Linked DNA regions of Macaca fascicularis. The protein of the gene in region 1 interacts with the protein of each later gene in a pairwise test. Links are inferred from orthologs where the notes say so. Each region holds a gene or a part of one and is shown on either strand. Other genes may lie near its edges. The genes, in order: C1H1orf35, FXR2 and SRRM4.

Region 1 (6,419 bases):
AAACAAGCACTGTAATTATAGCTATTAGAATAAAATCTCTTAACTATTTCGCCGGCTCTCCAGTGCTTCCACGTAGGCATACTGCCCCCAGGAGATGGTGGATCAGCCAGCTTTAGGAAGTGCAGGTGACTGCCTAGGGCCACCACCTGAGTCCACACCCTCTCCATGTCCCCTCCTGAGTGTGTGGGCACTTCTCTGTGTCTGTGTGAGAGGCTCTTCCAGCATGGTTAGCCACACTGACCTTGGTCTCTGTTCGCAGTCCTGTTGGGCCCAGCCAGTGAGAACTGGGCCACACAGGGCAGGGGTCAGCAGGCACCATGGAAGACCTCAGCCTCCATCCCTCCCTCGGCCTGCTGCTGAACCCGCTTTGTGTAACTGGCTATGGGGCAGGTCTACCGCTAGCATACATAGTGCTTTGTGCCAACCGGGGAATGGTTCCTGAGTGGATACAGCCCCCAACTCTCCTCAAGATGCCATGCAGCGGGGAGCTGCCAGTCTGGGGGTACCTGTTTGTGGGATGTGGCCATCAGCAGGTCTAAGGTCTGCCTTCTGTTGGGCAGAGTCCCGACAACCTTCATCCCCCTTGACAGCACCCAAAACAGCAGTCTCCACTCCAGTAGCCACGTGAGGGTGAGGGCAGAGGTCAAAGCCACATTAGCCACACCTTGGCCAGGGCCCTGAGGAAGGTCTGCTTAACTTCCTTTGAAGTCAGAAATCGGCCAGGCGAGGGAGCTCATGCCTCTGATCCCAAAACTGCAATGCTGCAGTGAACTATGATGCAGCCCAGGTGCCATCTTTATGCCATGCAGTCTGGTGGCCACACACATCCTGAACAGCCCTGATCCTTCTTAGGGCCAGGCAGAGGGGACACCCACCCCATTGGCCCGGGAGAAGCAGACCTGGGGGTTGGGGCAGCAGGCAGTTGGTGGAGTCCCCCAACCCCCACACCCAATTGAGGCTGTGCCTCCACAGACTATAGGGCTCTCTGCCCCAGGTTCCCACATTGCCAGCTGAGCACCCGCTTCCATGGCCTCGGCCCTCGCTGGGTTTTGGTGGGGCTCTGGGCACACACGGGAGGACTACATTCCCCCAGGACATTGAGAATCAGATGGACGCCGTGGCTCACGCCTGTAATCCCAGCACTTCGGGAGGCCAAGGCGGGTGGATCATCTGAGGTCAGGAGTTCGAGACCCAGCCTGGCCAACACAGTGAAACCTCGTCTCTACTAAAAAATACCAAAAATTAGCTGGGAGTAGTGGCAGGCGCCTGTAATTCCAGCTACTCAGGAGGTTGACAGGAGAATCGCTTGAACCTGGGAGGCAGAGGTTGCAGTGAGCTGAGATAGTGCCATTACACTCCAGCCTGGGAAACAAAAGCGAAACTAAAAAAAAAAAAAAAAAATCACCAGGCCTCAGACTCCTGGAAGACAGACCCCAGCTCCAACCTCCCAGTGGGATCTCATTTAACTCTTGACACTGACCTTCCAATTAGGATGATACACCTTCCTTTTAAAATATATTTATTGAAATACAAAGAGTCAATGTAAGGAAAAATAGAGGTCACCATACTTGGCCACAGTTAGACCGCTCATAGGCCCATGGCTGCTGTCTCTACTGGCAGAGGGAGTCCAGCTTCTACTGGTACCTCTGGGCAGGTTCACCTTCACAGGGCAAGCCAGGGACCATCCCCGCTATGTGAAACCTGGAGGTTTTCCAGAGCTAGCTGTCTAGCCATTAGCCCCACAGGCTGGTGCCCAGAGCCACTTCCACAGGAGCAGCCCCGGGCTTCACCCACACACGAGGGGCTTCCGAGGCAGGAGGCAAGCAAGGCAAAGGGAGAGTTCAGGGTCCCACAATAGCAGTGAGCAGGGTCCAGCCATCAGGCCTCAGAGCCTCTGTCATGCCACCTGCGAGACGGACTTCTCCTGTCCCCACTGTGTCCCCGCTTCCTCCTCTTACAACAGGGGGAGTTGGAATAGGAGTCGTGGTGGTGCCTGGGCCTGGGGAGACCAAGGGCAGTCACTCAGAAGGAGTCAACCAGGCTCCCACCCACAAGAGGCAGACATAGACCAGGGCATACCTCTCGGGAGATGTGGGAGAGGAGGCAGCCTCAGCTGGCTGCCTGTGCTCTTTGTCTTTCTTCTTCTTCTCTTTCTTGTGTTTCTTCTTTTTCTTTTTCTTCTTCTCCTTCTTGCTTTTCCTGTGGCTCTCAGAGCTACAAGGAGGATACAAGGCGCACCTCAGACCCTAGTCTTGCAGGCCAAGAGAGTGAACACAGACCCCAACCAGGAGATGAAGCCACCACCCACAAGTGCGTCTTTAAATCAGTTAAATCAGACTACCAATTCCACTCCTCAGTAATGCAGTCACGTGGCCAGTGGCTGCCCTGGGTTAGAAACTGATGCGATATCCCTATCTCCACAGCACGGCCCTGTTACACCCCAGCTGTGCCCTTGACAGGTTGACACCTTCCTACTTGCACCCACCAGGCCACTCTTGGGGTCAGGCCCAGGCTCACCACCCAAGAGAAGCCCTGGAGGTGCCACCCATGGAAGGAAAAGGCCCCGCCGCAGGTCCTGAGCGCCCTCCCACGGCGCAGCCCGCGACCACTGCCAGTACTTAGGACCTCTCTTCAAGGGTGACCCGAGAAACTCCCCTAGAGAAAAACCTAGGAGTAAGTGGGACAGGAAGTAAAGTAGGGCAGGCCACCGGCCGGGCCGGTGCGCCAAGAGAAGCTGCCACCTGCCGGAGCGGGAGCCGCTGAGGTCCTCCCGAGACCCCCTCCGGCGCGCAGCTCGCCCAGTAGGTGCAGCCTCACCTGCTTTCCGTCTGATCCTCCGCCCGCGGCTTCCTCCTGGCCGAGGTTGCCGAGGTCCCGGGCCCGCCGCTCTCTACGCGGTGATGCTGCGGGAGAATCGCGCTCTGGGGAAGAGTCTGAGGGCCGGCCCCACACCACGCCCCGCAGTGCCCCGGGGAGCTACGTTCAGTGCCCCCGCCCTGCGCCACCCCTGTTGGCCCCTGTTGCGGTCAGGCGGGGCGGGGAATTACCGTGAACACAGACAGCCCCAGTTTGGCGGCTTCCTTGTCCTCTCGGGACATCGCCACGCGGCCCACGGAGCCACTGCAGGAACACGGCGATGAAGACAGTCCGTCAAGGGCCCGCCTCACCCGAGCAATTCTGCCCTCCCCTGGAAACCTGCTCGCACCTGGCGCTCCCCAGCCCCAGCAGCCGGTCCACGCCCTTCTCCTCGGGGTCGCCTCCTTCCCGCTTGCAGACCTCCGCGAAATCCTGCAGGTGCGGGAGCACAGGCAGCGTTCCGGACGGCCCCACACCCACGGCCCTCCACGTGCCCCCCACTCCAGGGAGTTACCTCCTTGCTCAGGCCCGTGGGCTGCTTCTTCACGTTCTTGTAGCCACTGCGAGAGGACCAGAGCAGGCGTCAGGACGGACAGACCTCCTCCCACCACGGGTCCTCACCACTCCAGCCTTCATCCTGAGGGTCCCACCCGCGCAAGTCCCCGCAGCCCCGCCCCCGCCCAGCCCGACCCCCAGCCCCCGCCCCTGGCCCCACCCTGCCCCGGCAGCGAAGTCCCAAGCACCGACCGCTGATGTCCGCGGACACTCACAGGGCGGCCAGCAGCGCCTCCCGCTCCGCCTCCCGCACTGCTGCCAGTTCCTCCTCGCGGCTCGGGCCCGCGCACGGCGCCCGGCCCTTGGCGTACCAGGTGAGGTCGCGGCCCTTCTGCCAGCGGCCTACGGGCGCCATCAGCGAGTTGCCTGCGGACGTAGGCGCCGTGAGCCCAGCGCCCCCCGGGAGGCCGCCCGCCGCGCCCACCGCGCCCACCGCGCCCACGGACCCAGGTAGTTCTCCCGCTGCTTGTCAGTCTTCACGTCCTCCCAGTTGAACTGGTCCTGCCCGCCGCGCACGCCTCCGCGACTGGAACCGAACATGGCGCCCGGGAGGCAGTTGCCTGGGGCCTGCGGCCTGCGACCCGCAACCCCGGACCCTCTGTACCCACTACCGTAGGACCCAGGCCCGACCCCGCCTTCGCGTCGCGCGCCGTGACGTCACCCGGCGCCCACCCGGCTTCGCCCCGCGCGCCTGCGCAGCGCACCGCCCCGGCTCTGTGCTCCCGCGCGTCACCTTCAAGCAGGCTTTGGGCGCCTGCGCACTGCGCCTATCCTGCCCAGCGCGGGAACGCCTCTGAACTGTACGTTTAAAAATGGTTAAAACCGGCCTGGGCGCTGTGGCTCCCGCAGCACTTTGGGAGGCCCAGGCAGGCGGATCGCTTGAGGTCGGGAATTCCAGACTAGCCTAGCCAACATGGTGAAACCCCGTCTCTACTAAAATACAAAAATTAGCCGGGTGTGGTGGTGCACACTTGTAATCCCAGCTACCCAGGAGGCTGAGGCAGGAGAATTACTTGAACCGGGAGGCGGGGTTGCAGTGAGCCGAGATCGCGCCACTGCACTCCAGCCTGGGCGACAGAGCGAGACTCTGTCTCAAAAAAAAAAAAAAAAAAAAAAGTTAAAATGGGCCAGGCGCGCGCTTGCTTGCGCGCCTGTAGTCCAACGCTTTGAGGCTGAGGCGGGAGGATCTCTTGAGCCCAGGAGATCGCGCCACTGCGCTCCAACCTGAGCGAGTGAACGAGACCCTGTCTCATAAAAAAAGAAAACACACAGGATGCGCCTAGCTAACACCGCCAATTGGTCACTGCCAGCCGCGATTCCATATGGGGAGCTTAACAAGGTAATGCCCTAATGATTTGTGGAATTTCTGAGTATTACCCAGTAAACTTCTGGATGAACCAGCAGCTACCCAGACACCCTCAGAGCACTGGTCCCATCCTTGCTGTGGTAAACTGAATGTGCACCCTAACTCCCACGTGAAATCCCCAACCCAAGGCGTTGGTGCTTCGGAGGTGACTAGGTCATGACGACAGAGCCTTCATAAAAGAGACCCGAGAGCTTTGTGCAGCTTTCCACTGTGCGAAGGCAGCGGGAAGTCTGTAGTCTGGAAGAGACCCCTTCCCAGAACCTCAGCATGATGGGCACCCTGATTTTGGAGGTTGTGGCATCCCCCTGCTTCACCTTTCCACTTTCATTCCCAGTGGTGACCAAGAAACAGAGTCCCTTAGCCGCTCTGTGACCTCGCCAACGGTATAATTTCGTCTGCAGACTTGAACCTGAGCCATAGCCATGAACGTTCCCAGGCACAGATGACAGCATCTAGGTTGTTGCTCAAAACACAGAAAGAAACTGGACCCAGCCTGAGCCAGATTCCTTAAACCCTCATATAAACTCCATTCGACAACCCCCTCCCCATGGACATACCTAGAGAGAACATTCATTTCTCTCACCACCCGTTGCAAGAACTGCTGCAGCCCACTCTGTACAAAAGCCCTGCTAATAAATGCTCTGGGCGCATTACCCTGGCATGCTCAATCTTTCTGTAGAATCCTAACCAGCCCCATCTCAGCATGGTGTGGGGCACTCCCTTGTGGGAACTCTACTGCCACCACTTTTGGGGCAATTCCAGCCACAGGTTGAACTGGATGAAACACAGGTCTAGTGTCCAGAACTGTGGGAAATTTCTGTTTCTTAGTGACCCAGTCCATGGGTCAGGCTGTTAGAGCAGCCTGGCAGACAGCCCATCTGGCTCATCTATCTACTTAGCAAGTACCGGCTGCCATCTCCCTCATGAGGTGCTGTGTGAGCTTGCATCATGGAGCAGGTGCATGGCAAGGGCAGAGCAGCAGGCCACAGCCTGGCACACAGAAGGTGACTGGCCCACTCCTGGGAAGGCTTCCTTGGGTGTAGGGCATCAACTCCTGGGTGCAATTGCGGCTTGCCAGGCCAGGGTGGACTTCGGCCATGTGGGCAGGGCCCGGCTGTGGAGTGTGACCACTGACTGGATATCAGGTGTGGTGGAGAGGGGATAGCAGGGCCAGGTGGACGTTGGGAAAGAGTCCAGGACGGCTCTGAGGCTCTGGTCTGGGCAACTGTGAGGATGAAGCAGCCACCTGTCAACAAGAGGACCAGGTTTCTGGGGAAGACCTGGTCAGTTTTGGGCCCATTAGCCTGACAAGCCATAGGCCACAGGAGGAGGGGTCACCGCGGTGGAGGTTGCATGGCCTGTGCCTGCTGGGTGGAGTCCCAGCTGGGGGCACTGATCACAGTGGTGTCCTCTGTGACAGCAGCAAAGCTGGACCCAGGAGGGTGGAGGTGAGGGAGTAAGTAGAGGGACAGTGGAGTTCCCAGGGGAACCCACTATAGAGGGAGGAGGCTGGGTACACTGGAGGAGGGGGCCAAGTGACTGCACAGTGTGGCCGGGCAGCTGGCTCTATATGCCACAGGGATTGAGCCACAACTTCAGAGACGGGGGCTCCAGGGAGGCTGCTCAGGAAGTAACCCTGCAA
Region 2 (6,319 bases), on another chromosome or scaffold:
TGTGAGTGACTGGGAATGCCTTTGGAGAACTACTGAAACAAATATTTTATTCTTAGAAAGTTGCTCAGGTCATCCACAACTTCTCCTTTTTTACCATATGCCAGTTCTATGTTATTGAATATGCTGCCTGTGATGCCACCTACAATGAAATTGTTACCCTGGAGCGACTTCGGCCAGTTAATCCCAATCCCCTTGCAACCAAAGGCAGCTTCTTCAAGGTTACCATGGCTGTGCCCGAGGATCTGAGAGAAGCGTGAGTGTTAAGGATGGTGGGAATGAGGGCCCTCTTTACAGCCCTAATCTCTGGCTTTATTTCTTCCAGGCATCACTCCCACTTTGCAGTTTTCTCTGTTGTTCCCCTGGCCCTCTAGAGCCCTTCTTGCTAAGAAGACACTCTGTTTATTTTCCCATCCTTGTTCTTTAACTGTGGTCCCTCTTATTTTCTTATGCACTCAGCCCTGCTCCTCTGATTTTTTTTTTTTTAAATAGAGACAGGGTCTCACTATGTTGCCCATGCTAATCTTGAACTCCTGACCTCAAGTGATCATCTTGCCCTAGCCTCCCAGAGTGCTAGGATTACAGGTGCAAACCACCATGCCTGGCCTCCCCAGAGCTCTTCACTGTACTCTCTGTATTCTGCCCTCTGAGTACTTTTTTCCTCTGCAGCTGCTCCAATGAAAACGTCCATAAAGAGTTCAAGAAAGCGCTGGGAGCCAACTGCATCTTTCTCAACATCACAAACAGTGAACTCTTCATTCTGGTGAGTTTATTCTGCCTGAATTTCACATAAGCCCTTTGAACATTTTTTCTTTTTCCCCTTTTAACCCCTTTGCAGAAAGGAAAGGGCTTAAATGTGCTTATATTTATTCGTCAGAGAGGACTGTGTTGCTTCTGACTCCTACAGGCCCAGGTAGTCCACCTTTTTTTTTCTTTTTTTTGAGACGGAGTCTCACTCTTGTTGCCCAGGCTGGAGAACAATGGCACAATCTCGGCTCACTGCAACCTCCACCTCCAGGGTTCAAGCAATTCTCCTGCCTCAGTCTCCCGAGTAGCTGGGATTACAGGTGTGCGTCACCACGCCTGGCTAATTTTTTTTTTTTTTTGAGGTGGAATCTCACTCTGTCGCCCAGGCTGGAGTGCAAAGGTGTGATCTTGGCTCACTGCAACCTCCGCCCTCCAAGTTGAAGCAATTCTCCTGCCTCAGCCTCCTGAGTAGCTGGAATTACAGGCACCTGCCACCTCGTCTGGCTAATTTTTTTTTTGTATTTTTAGTAGAGACAGGGTTTCACCATCTTGGCCAGGCTGGTCTTGAACTCCTGATCTTGTGATCCACCCGTCTCGGCCTCCCAAGTTCTTGGATTACAGGCATAAGCTACCGCACCCAACATGCCCAGCTAATTTTTGTATTTTTAGTAGAAACAAGGTTTCACCATATTGGTCAGGCTGGTCTTGAACTCCTGACCTCATGATCCACCCACCTCAGCCTCTCAAAGTTCTGGGATTACAGGCATGAGCTACCATGCGCGGCCTCTGACCTTTTTTTTTTAAACCCGATAATCATGTTGCCATCTGGGTTGGAGACCCTCTCTTGATACTTGGACTTTCAGAAATAGAGTATGTAGCTCTCACCTTATGCTTGCTCTTTGCTTTCTCTCTAAACCATTGTCCTTCAGTACCCGGATAGTCAGCCTTTGTGGGACTGACAGTGAGTCTCCTCCTTCCTAGCGTCATTTCTTTTTTTTTTTGGAGATGGTGTATTGCTCTGTCACCAGGCTAGAATGCAGTGGCACAGTCTCGACTCACTGCAACCTCCGACTCCTGGGTTCAAGCGATTCTACTGCCTCAGCCTCTGGAGTAGCTGGAATTATAGGCGTGCACCACCACGCCTGGCTAATTTTTGTATTTTTAGTAGATACAGGGTCTCACCCTCTTGGCCAGTCTGGTCTCGAACTCCTGACCTCGTGATCCTCCTGCCTCGGCCTCCCAAAGTGCTGGGATTACAGGCATGAGCCACTGCGCCCAGCCTGCTAGCTTCATTTCTCAACCCTTTTCCCGAGATTTAGGCATCCTGATTTCTAGTCCCTGGCTCTCCCTCAGTGTTTATTCCAAGCCAGTTTTAATGACTTTCCCACCGGTTTCCTCACAGTCAACCACAGAAGCCCCTGTGAAGCGAGCATCTCTGCTGGGTGATATGCATTTCCGAAGCCTGCGCACCAAACTGCTACTTATGTCCCGAAATGAAGAAGCTACCAAGCACCTAGAGGTAACTTTTAGCTCCTTTTCCTCCTGCTGAAGATACTGTCTTCCTCCCTTCCTACCCTGTCCTCCATCCATGCTCTTGCATTTACAGAACAAAGACTAAGGCTTTTTCTGGGCAGTTAAACCTGGTTCAGGGCCGGGCGCGGTGGCTCAAGCCTGTAATCCCAGCACTTTGGGAGGCCGAGACGGGCGGATCACGAGGTCAGGAGATCGAGACCATCCTGGCTAATACGGTGAAACCCCGTCTCTACTAAAAAATACAAAAAACTAGCCGGGCGCGGTGGCGGGCGCCTGTAGTCCCAACTACTCGGGAGGCTGAGGCAGGAGAATGGCGTGAACCCGGGAGGCGGAGCTTGCAGTGAGCTGAGATCCGGCCACTGCACTCCAGCCTGGGTGACAGAGCGAGACTCCGTCTCAAAAAAAAAAAAAAAAAAAAAAAAAAACAAAAAAAAAACCTGGTTCAGCTATTATTTTATCTCAGACTCCTCCAGATGACAGAGCTCTATCATGGTATAGTACAATTATTTTCAGATTTCTTTTAACCAATTTGTTTTAAATTTTTTCGAGACAGTCTCGCTCTGTCACCTAGGCTGGAGTGCAGTGACATGATCTCGGCTCACTGCAACCCCCACCTCCTGTGTTTAAGCAATTCTCATGCCTCACCCTTCTGAGTAGCTGGGATTACAGGCATGCGCCACCACACCCGGCTCAGTTTTGTATTAGTGGAGATGGGATTTTGCCATGTTGCCCAAGCTGGTCTCGAACTCCTGACCTCATGTGATCCACCCATCTCGGCCTCCCAAAGTGCTGGGATTACAGGCGTGAGCCACCACACCTAGCCGATGGCACCCTTTTTGATGAAGTTAAATGTTGCTTGGAACCACAATGCATAAAATAGTCAGAGCAGCTCTGTCTAAAAGTGGAAAGTGGACATGGCTCTTACCTCCACCAACACCCCCAAATCACCTGTGGAAACCAAACGACTTTGCAGGATATATTTGAGAACCATTTGGACACTGGGCATACCACTGGACTTGGAATGCTAAGTCTTGTCAAATAATTGTCTTTTGGCAAATAATTTCATTACGCTGAGATTTATCTTCATCTGTGCCAGTGAGGTCGGTAGGCTAGAGTGTTTCTTTTTTTAAATTTTATATTTAAAATATTTTTTCTATTTGTTCATTCTCACAACTTAATAGGTAAACTAGAACATTTCTTTTATTCTTTTTTGTTTTTTTTTTCAAGAGGGAGTTTCTCTCTTGTTGCCCAGGCTGGAGTGCAATGGCACAACTTCGGCTCACTGCAACCTCCACCTCCTGGGTTCAAGCCATTCTGCTGCCTCAGCCTCCTGAGTAGCTGAGGTTACAGGCATGTACCACCACGCCTGGCTAATTTTTGTGTTTTTTAGTGGAGACAGGATTTCACCATGTTGACCAGGCTGGTCTCGAACTCCTAACCTCAGATGATCTGCCTAACTCGGTCTCCCAAAGTGCTGGCATTGCAGGCATGAGCCACTGCGCCCAGCCTCGTTTTTTCTTTTCTTTTTTGAGACAGGGTCTCACTCCCATTGCCCAAGTTGGAGTAACATGGCTCACTGCAGCCTTGACTCCCCAGGTTCTGGTGTTTCTCCTACCTCACCCTCCTCAGTAGCTGGAATTACTTGCGTGTGCCACCATGCTCAACTAATTTTCTTTTTTTTTTTTTTTTGGATGGAGTCTTGCTCTGTTGCACAGGCTGGAATGGAGTGATACAGTCTTGGCTCACTGCAACCTCCACCTCCCAGATTGTAGCAATTCTCCTGCCTCAGCCTCCCAAGTAGCTGGGATTACTGGCGCCTACCACCACACCCAGCTAATGTTTTTATTTTTAGTAGAGATGAGGTTTCACCATGTTGGCCAGGCTGGTCTTGAACTCCTGACCTCAGGTGATCCACCTGCCTCGGCCTCCCAAAGTGCTGGGATTACAGGCGTGGGCCACTGTACCCAGCCTAATTTTTTTTTTTTTGAAACATAGTCTTGCTGTGTCGCTCAGGCTGGAGTGCAGTGGCGTGATCTCGGCTCACTGCAACCTCTGCCTCCTGGGTTCAAGCAATTCTCCCTCCTCAGTCGCCGGAGTAGCTGGGATTATAGGAGCCCATCACCATGTCCAGCTAGTTTTCGTATTTTTAGTAGAGTTGGGGTTTCACTATGTTGGCTAGGCTCGAACTCCTGACCTCAAGTGATCTACCACCTCCCAAAGTGCTGGGATTACATGCGTGAGCCACTGTGCCTGGCCAATTTTTTGTATTTTTAATAGAGATGTGGTTTTGCCATATTGCCCAGGCTGGTCTTGAACGTATTTTTGTGTTTTTTTTTTTTTTTGAGACAGGGTCTCGCTCTGTTGCCCAGGCTGGAGTGCAGTGGCGTGATCTCGGCTGGATGGAGATGGAGTGCAAGCTCCATCTCCTGGGTTCATGCCGTTCTGCTGCCTCAGCTCCCCGAGTAGCTGGGACTACAGGCGGCCGCCACCACGCCCGGCTAATTTTTTTGTATGTTTTTTTAGTAGAGACGGGGTTTCACCATGTTAGCCAGGATGGTCTCGATCTCCTGACTTCGTGATCCACCTGCCTTGGCCTCCCAGAGTGTTGGGATTACAGGCGTGAGACACCATGCTGGGCTGAATGGTTTTTTTTTTTTTGAGATGGAGTCTCACTTTGTCACCCAGGCTGTAGTGCAATGGCGTGGTCTCAGCTCACTGCAACGTCCGCCTTCCGGGTTCAAGCAATTCTCCTGCCTCAGCCTCCCAAGTAGCTGGGACTACAGGTGTGTGCCACCACACCCGGCTAATTTTTGTATTTTTAGTAGTGACGGGGTTTCACTATGTTGGCTAGGCCGGTCTCAAACTCCTAACTTCATGATCCATCTGCCTTGGCCTCCCAAAGTGCTGGGATTACAGACGTGAGCCACTGTGCCCGGCCCTGGTCTTGAACTTCTAGACTCAAGAGATCCACTTGCCTGTACCTCCCAAAGTGCTAGGATTACAGGTGTGAGCCACCACACCCAGCCTATACTAGTATATTTCTTTTTTAGGGTGGGCGCAGTGGCTCACGCCTGTAATCCCAGCACTTCAGTACTTTGGGGGGCTGACGCAGGCAGACCACCTGAGGTTGGGAGTTGAGACCAGGCTGGTCAACATGGTGAAACCCCATCTTTACTAAAAAGACAAAATTCAGGTGGGCGTGGTGGCACACGGCTGTAATTTCAGCTACTCATGAGACTGAGGCAGGAGAATTGCTTGAATCTGGGAAGTAGAGGTTGCAGTGAGCCAAGATTGTGCCATTGCACTCCAGCCTGGGGGACGAGTAAAACTCTGTCTCAAAAAAAAAAAAGATATGGCTGGGCGCGGTGGCCCACGCCTCTAATCGCGACACTTTGGGAGGCTGAGGAGGGTGGATCACCTGAGGCTGGGAGTTCAAGACCAGCCTGGCCAACATGGTGAAACCCCATCTCTACTAAAAATACAAAAATTAGCCTAACAAAAATTAGCCGGGCGTGGTGGCGGCCGCCTGTAGTCCCAGCTACTTGGGGAGCTGAGGCAGCAGAGCGGCATGAACCCAGGAGGTGGAACTTGCAGTGAGCCGAGATTACTCTTGGGCAACAAGAGTAAACTGCATCTCAGAAAAAAAAAAAAGGATATTTCTTTTTTTGTTGTTTTTTTTTTTGTTTGTTTGTTTTTTGAGATAGCGTCTCTGTCGCCCAGGCTGGAGTGCAGTGGCACTATCTTGGCTTACTGCAACCTCCAACTCCCAGATTGAAGCAATTCTCCTGCCTCATCCTCCCGAGTAGCTGGGATTACAGGTGTGTGCCATCACACCTGGCTAATTTTTGTCTTTTTTAGTAGAGATGGGGTTTCACCATGTTGGCCAGGCTGATCTCGAACTATGGACCTCAAGTGATCCGCTGGCCTCAACCTCCCAAAGTGTTGGGATTACAGGTGTGAGCCACCACGCCTAGCCTGACTAGAGTATTTCTATGAGATCTTTTTGAATTCTGACATCCTGTAATTGTCAGATTCCCTTTCC
Region 3 (6,319 bases), on another chromosome or scaffold:
TTTATCAGTTCTGACCACACAAGTTACATGTAGATAAGTCACAGACAGGTGGTAATACTCTGAAAGTATCCCTGTGAGCTCAGGGCATGGGGTTGAGAAGATGAACAAGGCCAGATCCCCTTCTATATCCACTAGCCTGGAGGGGCCTCACATTCAAGAAATCCTTGCCTACGGGGATCCATGGTGCACCAGGAAAAATGAAATTCGTAGTCAAGACTAGGAACAAGTACCTGGGAGAGAAAGGCCCAGCCTGGCAGCCTCCAGGTAGCAAACCACAAGATAATGAAAATTATTGTACTCACAGGCCCCTGTCCTTGAGTTCTTCCAGCCTAGCTCCCTCCAAGACGGGCTTGCTGGATTCACTTGTAACACCCTGGCTACCAACCATTCACCATCTCTGGGGCAAAGATTCCATGATCCCATTCTTGTACCAAGCCCAAGCCAGAGATCACAGATCTCAGGGTCTAGTTGTCTGGCATGATACATTCCTGACAGGGGTGGTGGAGATACATGTATTACCACTGAACTCCAGAGTTGAGAAAGATGTGGCATCCAAAACGCAAAACAAGAAGACAAATAAATAGGAGGACTGAATGGGAACAGGGCCTTTACATTGTTGTTTTAAAAGTCTCACTCTAAAAGACTCCACCAGAGCAAACTTATTTTGAGGTCCCTTTTCCCAAAGCAAAGCTATCCAAGGTGCCATGCAGGTAAAATGGCAGCTGTGGTGGACAGAACTTGCTAAAGCTAGACTATCACCTTGCCTGTGTGCAAAGCCTCCTGGGAGAATCTACAAAGGAATCCCTGCTTCCCCGGCCCCAAGAGCTGACACCCTGAGCGCTGGAGTTATGCTAGTCTCACAGTTCCACTGTGTCTGTGTTTCACCCACATGACCAATTGCTGAGAAGGCAGAAATGGTTCTTAAGAAATTCCAGAAGCGCCCCCTCCTTTAGGGCCAAGATGCACAAGATAAAGTTGGGAGAAAGAGTAGGCTCTTTATGGTGAAGCCTGCCCTAACATTTGTGACGTCAGAGCAAAGTTATAGAAGAAGATCCGTATATTAGATGTCTAAATGGTCATAAATAAGTCAGCAAACTTAATAAAATATGTTCTGTTATCTTGGTAAACATACCTTCAAAATGATCGGAAAGTTAGTTATGATTTTAGAATCTTGGACCATTTCAGAGTGCCAGGATGTGACATAGCAGTTGGGGGAGAATCTGGCCCCGGAACTATCCCTTTCTCTCCCTGAATCTGGCACATCCAGCACCATGATGGGGCTTACACACATGCATATAGACCCCTCAGCCTGAACATCCAAGTTCTGTCCAAATAGCTACCCTTGGACCTAGGAGTGTGGACACTTGAAGCATGCTCTCCCTGCAGGAGAATGGATCCATGGATGAGGCCTACAGAGACCTGGAAAGGGGCATAGGAGTCATTTAAACAGAGAATTCTGGGATCTCAGATATCCAGAGAGTGGTTGAGGCAGGCAGTAGTCTTAAGGGGGTGCCTTCTTGGTTCCCCAGATTTCTCATCCCATAGGGATGGTTATCTCTGGAGGAGGCCCAGGGCAGGGATCCCTCCCATCCACAGCTGAGCGTGGTACTGCTGGCAGAGGCCAGCATCAAACTTACTGTGTCATCCCAGCCACAACAGGACTGAATATTTAAAGAAACCGCCCCTTCCCCCCCCGCCCCACCACCATCCTGCTTCTAAAAGTGTGCTCACCTTCCCAAGTGCTGGCTTTCCATCGCCTCCTTTACTCCTTCATTGGTCCTAGATCAGCCCTAGACAGGGTTCTGGGGGCCCCTCTTTATTCCCAGTCACCCCAAAGCCCAATCTCCAAGCCCGTTCCAAAGCCCTCTGTTTCGCATCCTCCCTCCCTCGTGCCCCCTCGACATTCACACCTAGGTAGTAGATGCCATACTCTAGCTGCCATTGGCATATTCCACAAGGGTTTCCTGCTCCAACTTGGGCCCTAAGGGATTGATTAGGTTGGCTAGGTTAGGTCCCCTTTATGACAAAACCAAACAGAATTGATGCCCCCACCTGTCAAGGGCACTGAAAAAACCAAAACTCAAAGTTCAGGGCCAAGTTTGAGGATGTGCAGAAAGGTGTGTGTTTTTTCTTGTCAATTGCGACTCTAATGATGGACTCACGTTGCCCGCTCTTCCCTTTCTCTTACACCTTACCTACCTACTAAAGGAGGAGTTCTTGCTTGGTAAGTGGATATAATCCGCAAAGACATGAGAGAATTTATTAGAAGCCACTCAAGAACCTTAGCTACCTTCTACAAGGGGAAAAGGACACACACAAATATCTATAGAGACCCTTTTTTTCATTTATTTTTGGTCAGACTATTTGACTTCCATTTTTTTTTTTGTCCCCTCCTTTCTTTTCCCCTTTAGTTGAAAACTGCTAAAATGTCAGTTTGCGACCTTGACTTTATATTTAAAAAAACAAAAACAAACTCTCATCTTTATTTCATTTCTTTTCCCCATGTGATATTTGTTTAGGGTTCTATTCAGGCAACTTTTTCTTTTCAAAACCAAAAATTGTTAAATTAATTGAGGATTTGGTTGAAGTTTAAAATTTTGGCTTTACCTGCTTTTATTTTTGATTTCCAAGATATATTTTTTCAGGCCCATAGTTCCATTTCTTTTTCCCCTTCCCTTTCCTTTATTTTTTATTATTGTTTTAGGTTGAGTTAAGGGTGTTTACACCCCCTTTCTATTGAGTTGACTCTTTTGTTTAATTCATTAGAAATTAAATTTTGTATAATTTCCTTTTTCTTTTGTTTAACCTGAATCGCATGCTTTTTCTCTGCATGATACCTAAATCTTCCAGTTATCCTAGCAGGGGGTAAAAAAAAAAAAAAAATCTCCTTTCTGTGGTATTCTTTCAGGAATTTGTGCTTTTGTTTTTTGGCGTCTCTTCTTTCTTCTCCTCTCTCTCTCTTTCCTTTCGTTACAGTGCATCATGACGGTAAACATTTCTTGGTTATTTAGACACAGCCCATGGGCCCAGCGCTCAGCAGTGTCCAACGGGTCTTTTTGCTTTCAGATCACTGGGTCGGGGTCTGCTGCTGACCTCTTTACCAAAACAGCCAGCCCGCTCACCACCTCGCGAGGACGTTCCCAGGAGTACGACTCAGGCAATGACACGTCCTCACCACCCTCCACGCAAACCAGCTCAGCCCGGTCTCGGGGCCAGGAGAAGGGGAGCCCCAGCGGGGGTTTGAGCAAGAGCCGGGAGCTCAACAGTGGCAACACCTCTGATTCAGGGAACTCCTTCACCACCTCCTCACCCCAGAACAAGGGGGCCATGTTGGAGAATCTCTCCCCAACCAGCAGGGGCAGAGAGTCAAGGTCAGTGCACTGCACGGGGTGGGGGATAGAGAGTCTCCCACCTTAGCTCCACCTTCTCATGCTCTCATCCCAGCCTCCCCCACTCCACCCCCAAGATTCTTTTATTTGTAACAGAGAGAAAACTTAACTCACACTGGCTTAATTGTTTTAAAACGCTAGTGGCACTAGCTTCAGGTACAGCTGGATTCAGGGGCTCAAAAATATGTTGCTGGAAATCTGTCTTTCTCATTACATCTCTTATTCTGCTTCCTCATTCTACTGGCCTTATTCTCAAGCAGATCCTCCCAAAACATTGTCAAATATGCCAAGTAGCTAACATTCTATCGGTTTAGCCAGCCAACAGGAGAACAGTGCTTCTTTCTCAAAGATTTCGGCAAAACACCAGGGCAGGTGCTCATTGGTTCTGTTTGGCCCAGCTTAGGTCATCTGTCCATCACTGTCCCAGGGGATGATATGCTCTTGGCCAGAATGTGTCACATGCCATCACTAGGGCTAATGAGTAGAACCTTCCCACATTCCTCTATAGGAAAAGCCAGGTTATTGGTATCAGAAGAGATGGAGGCTAGGCAGGCAGAAAAGCAGATGACAATTTTACTAATAATCTTAGAAGAAAGTCTAACATTGGCAGGGTGTGGTGGCTCGCGCCTGTAATCCCAGCACTTTGGGAGGCTGAGGCGGGCGGATCACCTGAGGTCGGGAGTTCGAGACCAGCGTGACCAACATGGAGAAACCCCGTCTCTATTAAAAATACAAAATTAGCCGGGTGTGATGGCGCATGCCTGTAATCCCAGCTACTAGGGAGGCTGAGGCAGGAGAATTGCTTGAACCCTGGAGGCGGAGGTGGCAGTGAGCCGAGATTGTACCGTTGCACTCCAGCCTGGGCAACAAGAGTGAAACTCCATCTCAAAAGAAAAAAAGAAAGAAAGAAAGTCTAACATTAAATTCACTGTAAGTCACTGTCATTTAAGAACATATCACCGTATTTACCCAAATGAATTGAAAACTTATCTCCACATAAAAACCTGCACTTGGATGTTACAACAGCTTTATTCGTAATTGCTAAAACTTGGAAGCAACCAGGATATCCTTCAGTCGGTGAGTGAATACATAAATTGTGATATGTCCAGACAATGGAATGCTATTCAGTGCTCGGAAGATATGAGGTACCACGCTATGAAAAGACATGGAGGAAACGTAAATGCATATTACTAAGTGAAAGAAGCCAATGTGAAAAGGTGGCACACTGCATGGCTCCAACTGTATGACATTCTCGAAAAGGCAAAACTATGGAGAAAGTAAAAAGATCAGTGGTTGCCAGAGGGTGAGGGGAGGGAGGGATGAATAGGCAGAGCACAGAGGATTTTTAGGGCAGTGGAACTACTCTGTGTGATACTACAATGGTGGATAACTGTCATTATACATTTGTCCAAATCCATAGAATGTATAACACCAACAGGGTACTCTGATGTGAACTATAGACTCTGGGTGATAATGATGTGTCAGCGGAGGTTCATCGATTGTAGCAAATGGAGCACGTTGGTGGAGGATACAGATAGTGGGGAATAAGGCTGTGCGTGTGTAGCAGCAAGAAATGTATGGGAGCTCCCTGTGCTTTCCATTCAATTGTGCTATGAAACTAAAACTGCTCTAAAAAATAAAGTTTATTAATTGTAGATACAGATATACCATAGTATAATTTATCAACATATCAGAGAACATTGAGACTTCTCCATTTTTTTACCCATCTTAACACACTCACTAGATACAGTTTTCCTGCAGAAAACTCTTCCATACAGTTGCATATGAGCCAGTTGTAATTCTACTTCGTCACCCGCTTACTCTCTCACTCAAGAAATCACAACAAAATGCTAATTACTGAGGGTACTGTCATCATAATAGCTACTACAATTTACTGATCACTTAGTCTGTACCATTCATTCTGTTATTTATTCCTCAACTTGTTTATCAGGCAAGTCTTCTCTACCAGACACTCAGCCTGGTGCTGGGGATATAAAATGGAACAGTCTCCTTTTTCTCAGGAGCTTATAATTCATGGGGCAGATGCACAGGTGCAGGATGGGTGGAAAAGCTTTGCTGATGCCCTCTGTCATGTTAACGGTGAGGTTTTTCTACTTCTGAGGGTGGGAGTTTGCCTTTGTTCCATGTAGCCAAGATTTTCAAAAGATCACTAAAGCCTTAGCACTGAAGCAGCTAACAGCTTCTTCAAAGACAGAGTACTCTTTGTCCCTAACACATACCCCACTTCAGTCCTGGACAAACAGCTTGACATTCACATGCAGAACAGTCTTCCCTTTTGCCTGCCCCAGGTCATCCCTGGCCTCAGCCCACACCCATGCTTGGCTGAGAACCTGAGCTGGGCCAGGGCGAATATCAGTGTCTCCAAGAACAGGCAGTGAAGTTCCCAGAAGGGAGGAGGAGGACACATGTTTACTGATATACTGCAGTGCTATTATGCAGGAAAAGTTGAAATAGCAGTAACAACGACAATAATAACGGCAGTTCATATTCATGGAGCCCAAATCACATGCTAGGTACACTACCAAATGCTTTCCAGAAATAATCTTCCTCAGCTCCTCAAAACTTTTATGGGATAGTACTATTTGTAACCCTTTTTTTACCTGATGGGGAAACTGAGGCTCAGAGTGGTTGAGAAACTCAGTTAATAAGTGGCAGCACCAGGATTCAAATGCAAATAAATCCCCCAAAAAGGAACTAAAGCCTGAGAGACATCTAGCAGTTACCTGTTTAATTTGATCTCCATGGACAGCCAAATTAAATAGTTTAGACCCAGCCTTTCACTTTGAAATATAAATGATGGTTGAGTCCACAGCTATTTATGTCATGCCACTTATGAGCAGAGAGGGCTCAATAAATATGGACTGAGTGGAAGAGACCTCAGCTCTAAATCAAAGGAACCATAGGCACTG

Evidence for each region.
Region 2: the proteins of C1H1orf35 (region 1) and FXR2 interact in binary tests that used the Homo sapiens proteins (3 or more experiments, as listed by UniProt). The two-hybrid records come from large-scale screens. The link is inferred for Macaca fascicularis from reciprocal best matches to the Homo sapiens genes C1orf35 and FXR2.
Region 3: the proteins of C1H1orf35 (region 1) and SRRM4 interact in binary tests that used the Homo sapiens proteins (3 or more experiments, as listed by UniProt). The link is inferred for Macaca fascicularis from reciprocal best matches to the Homo sapiens genes C1orf35 and SRRM4.

The regions. Positions count from the first base shown.
Region 1 is NC_088375.1:86,008,526-86,014,944, forward strand, and holds C1H1orf35 (multiple myeloma tumor-associated protein 2), read right to left. Parts: upstream 4,051-6,419; 5' UTR 3,952-4,050; coding exon 3,858-3,951; intron 3,778-3,857; coding exon 3,627-3,777; intron 3,417-3,626; coding exon 3,371-3,416; exon of another isoform or gene 3,289-3,370; coding exon 3,206-3,288; intron 3,121-3,205; coding exon 3,048-3,120; intron 2,904-3,047; coding exon 2,818-2,903; exon of another isoform or gene 2,518-2,817; intron 2,215-2,517; coding exon 2,080-2,214; intron 2,000-2,079; coding exon 1,879-1,999; 3' UTR 1,503-1,878; downstream 1-1,502.
Region 2 is NC_088390.1:7,649,041-7,655,359, reverse strand, and holds part of FXR2 (RNA-binding protein FXR2), read left to right. Parts: coding exon 1-1; intron 2-104; coding exon 105-253; intron 254-666; coding exon 667-760; intron 761-2,146; coding exon 2,147-2,263; intron 2,264-6,319. UniProt on the Homo sapiens protein: mRNA-binding protein that acts as a regulator of mRNAs translation and/or stability, and which is required for adult hippocampal neurogenesis. Specifically binds to AU-rich elements (AREs) in the 3'-UTR of target mRNAs.
Region 3 is NC_088385.1:126,143,316-126,149,634, forward strand, and holds part of SRRM4 (serine/arginine repetitive matrix protein 4), read left to right. Parts: intron 1-3,066; coding exon 3,067-3,371; intron 3,372-6,319. UniProt on the Homo sapiens protein: Splicing factor specifically required for neural cell differentiation.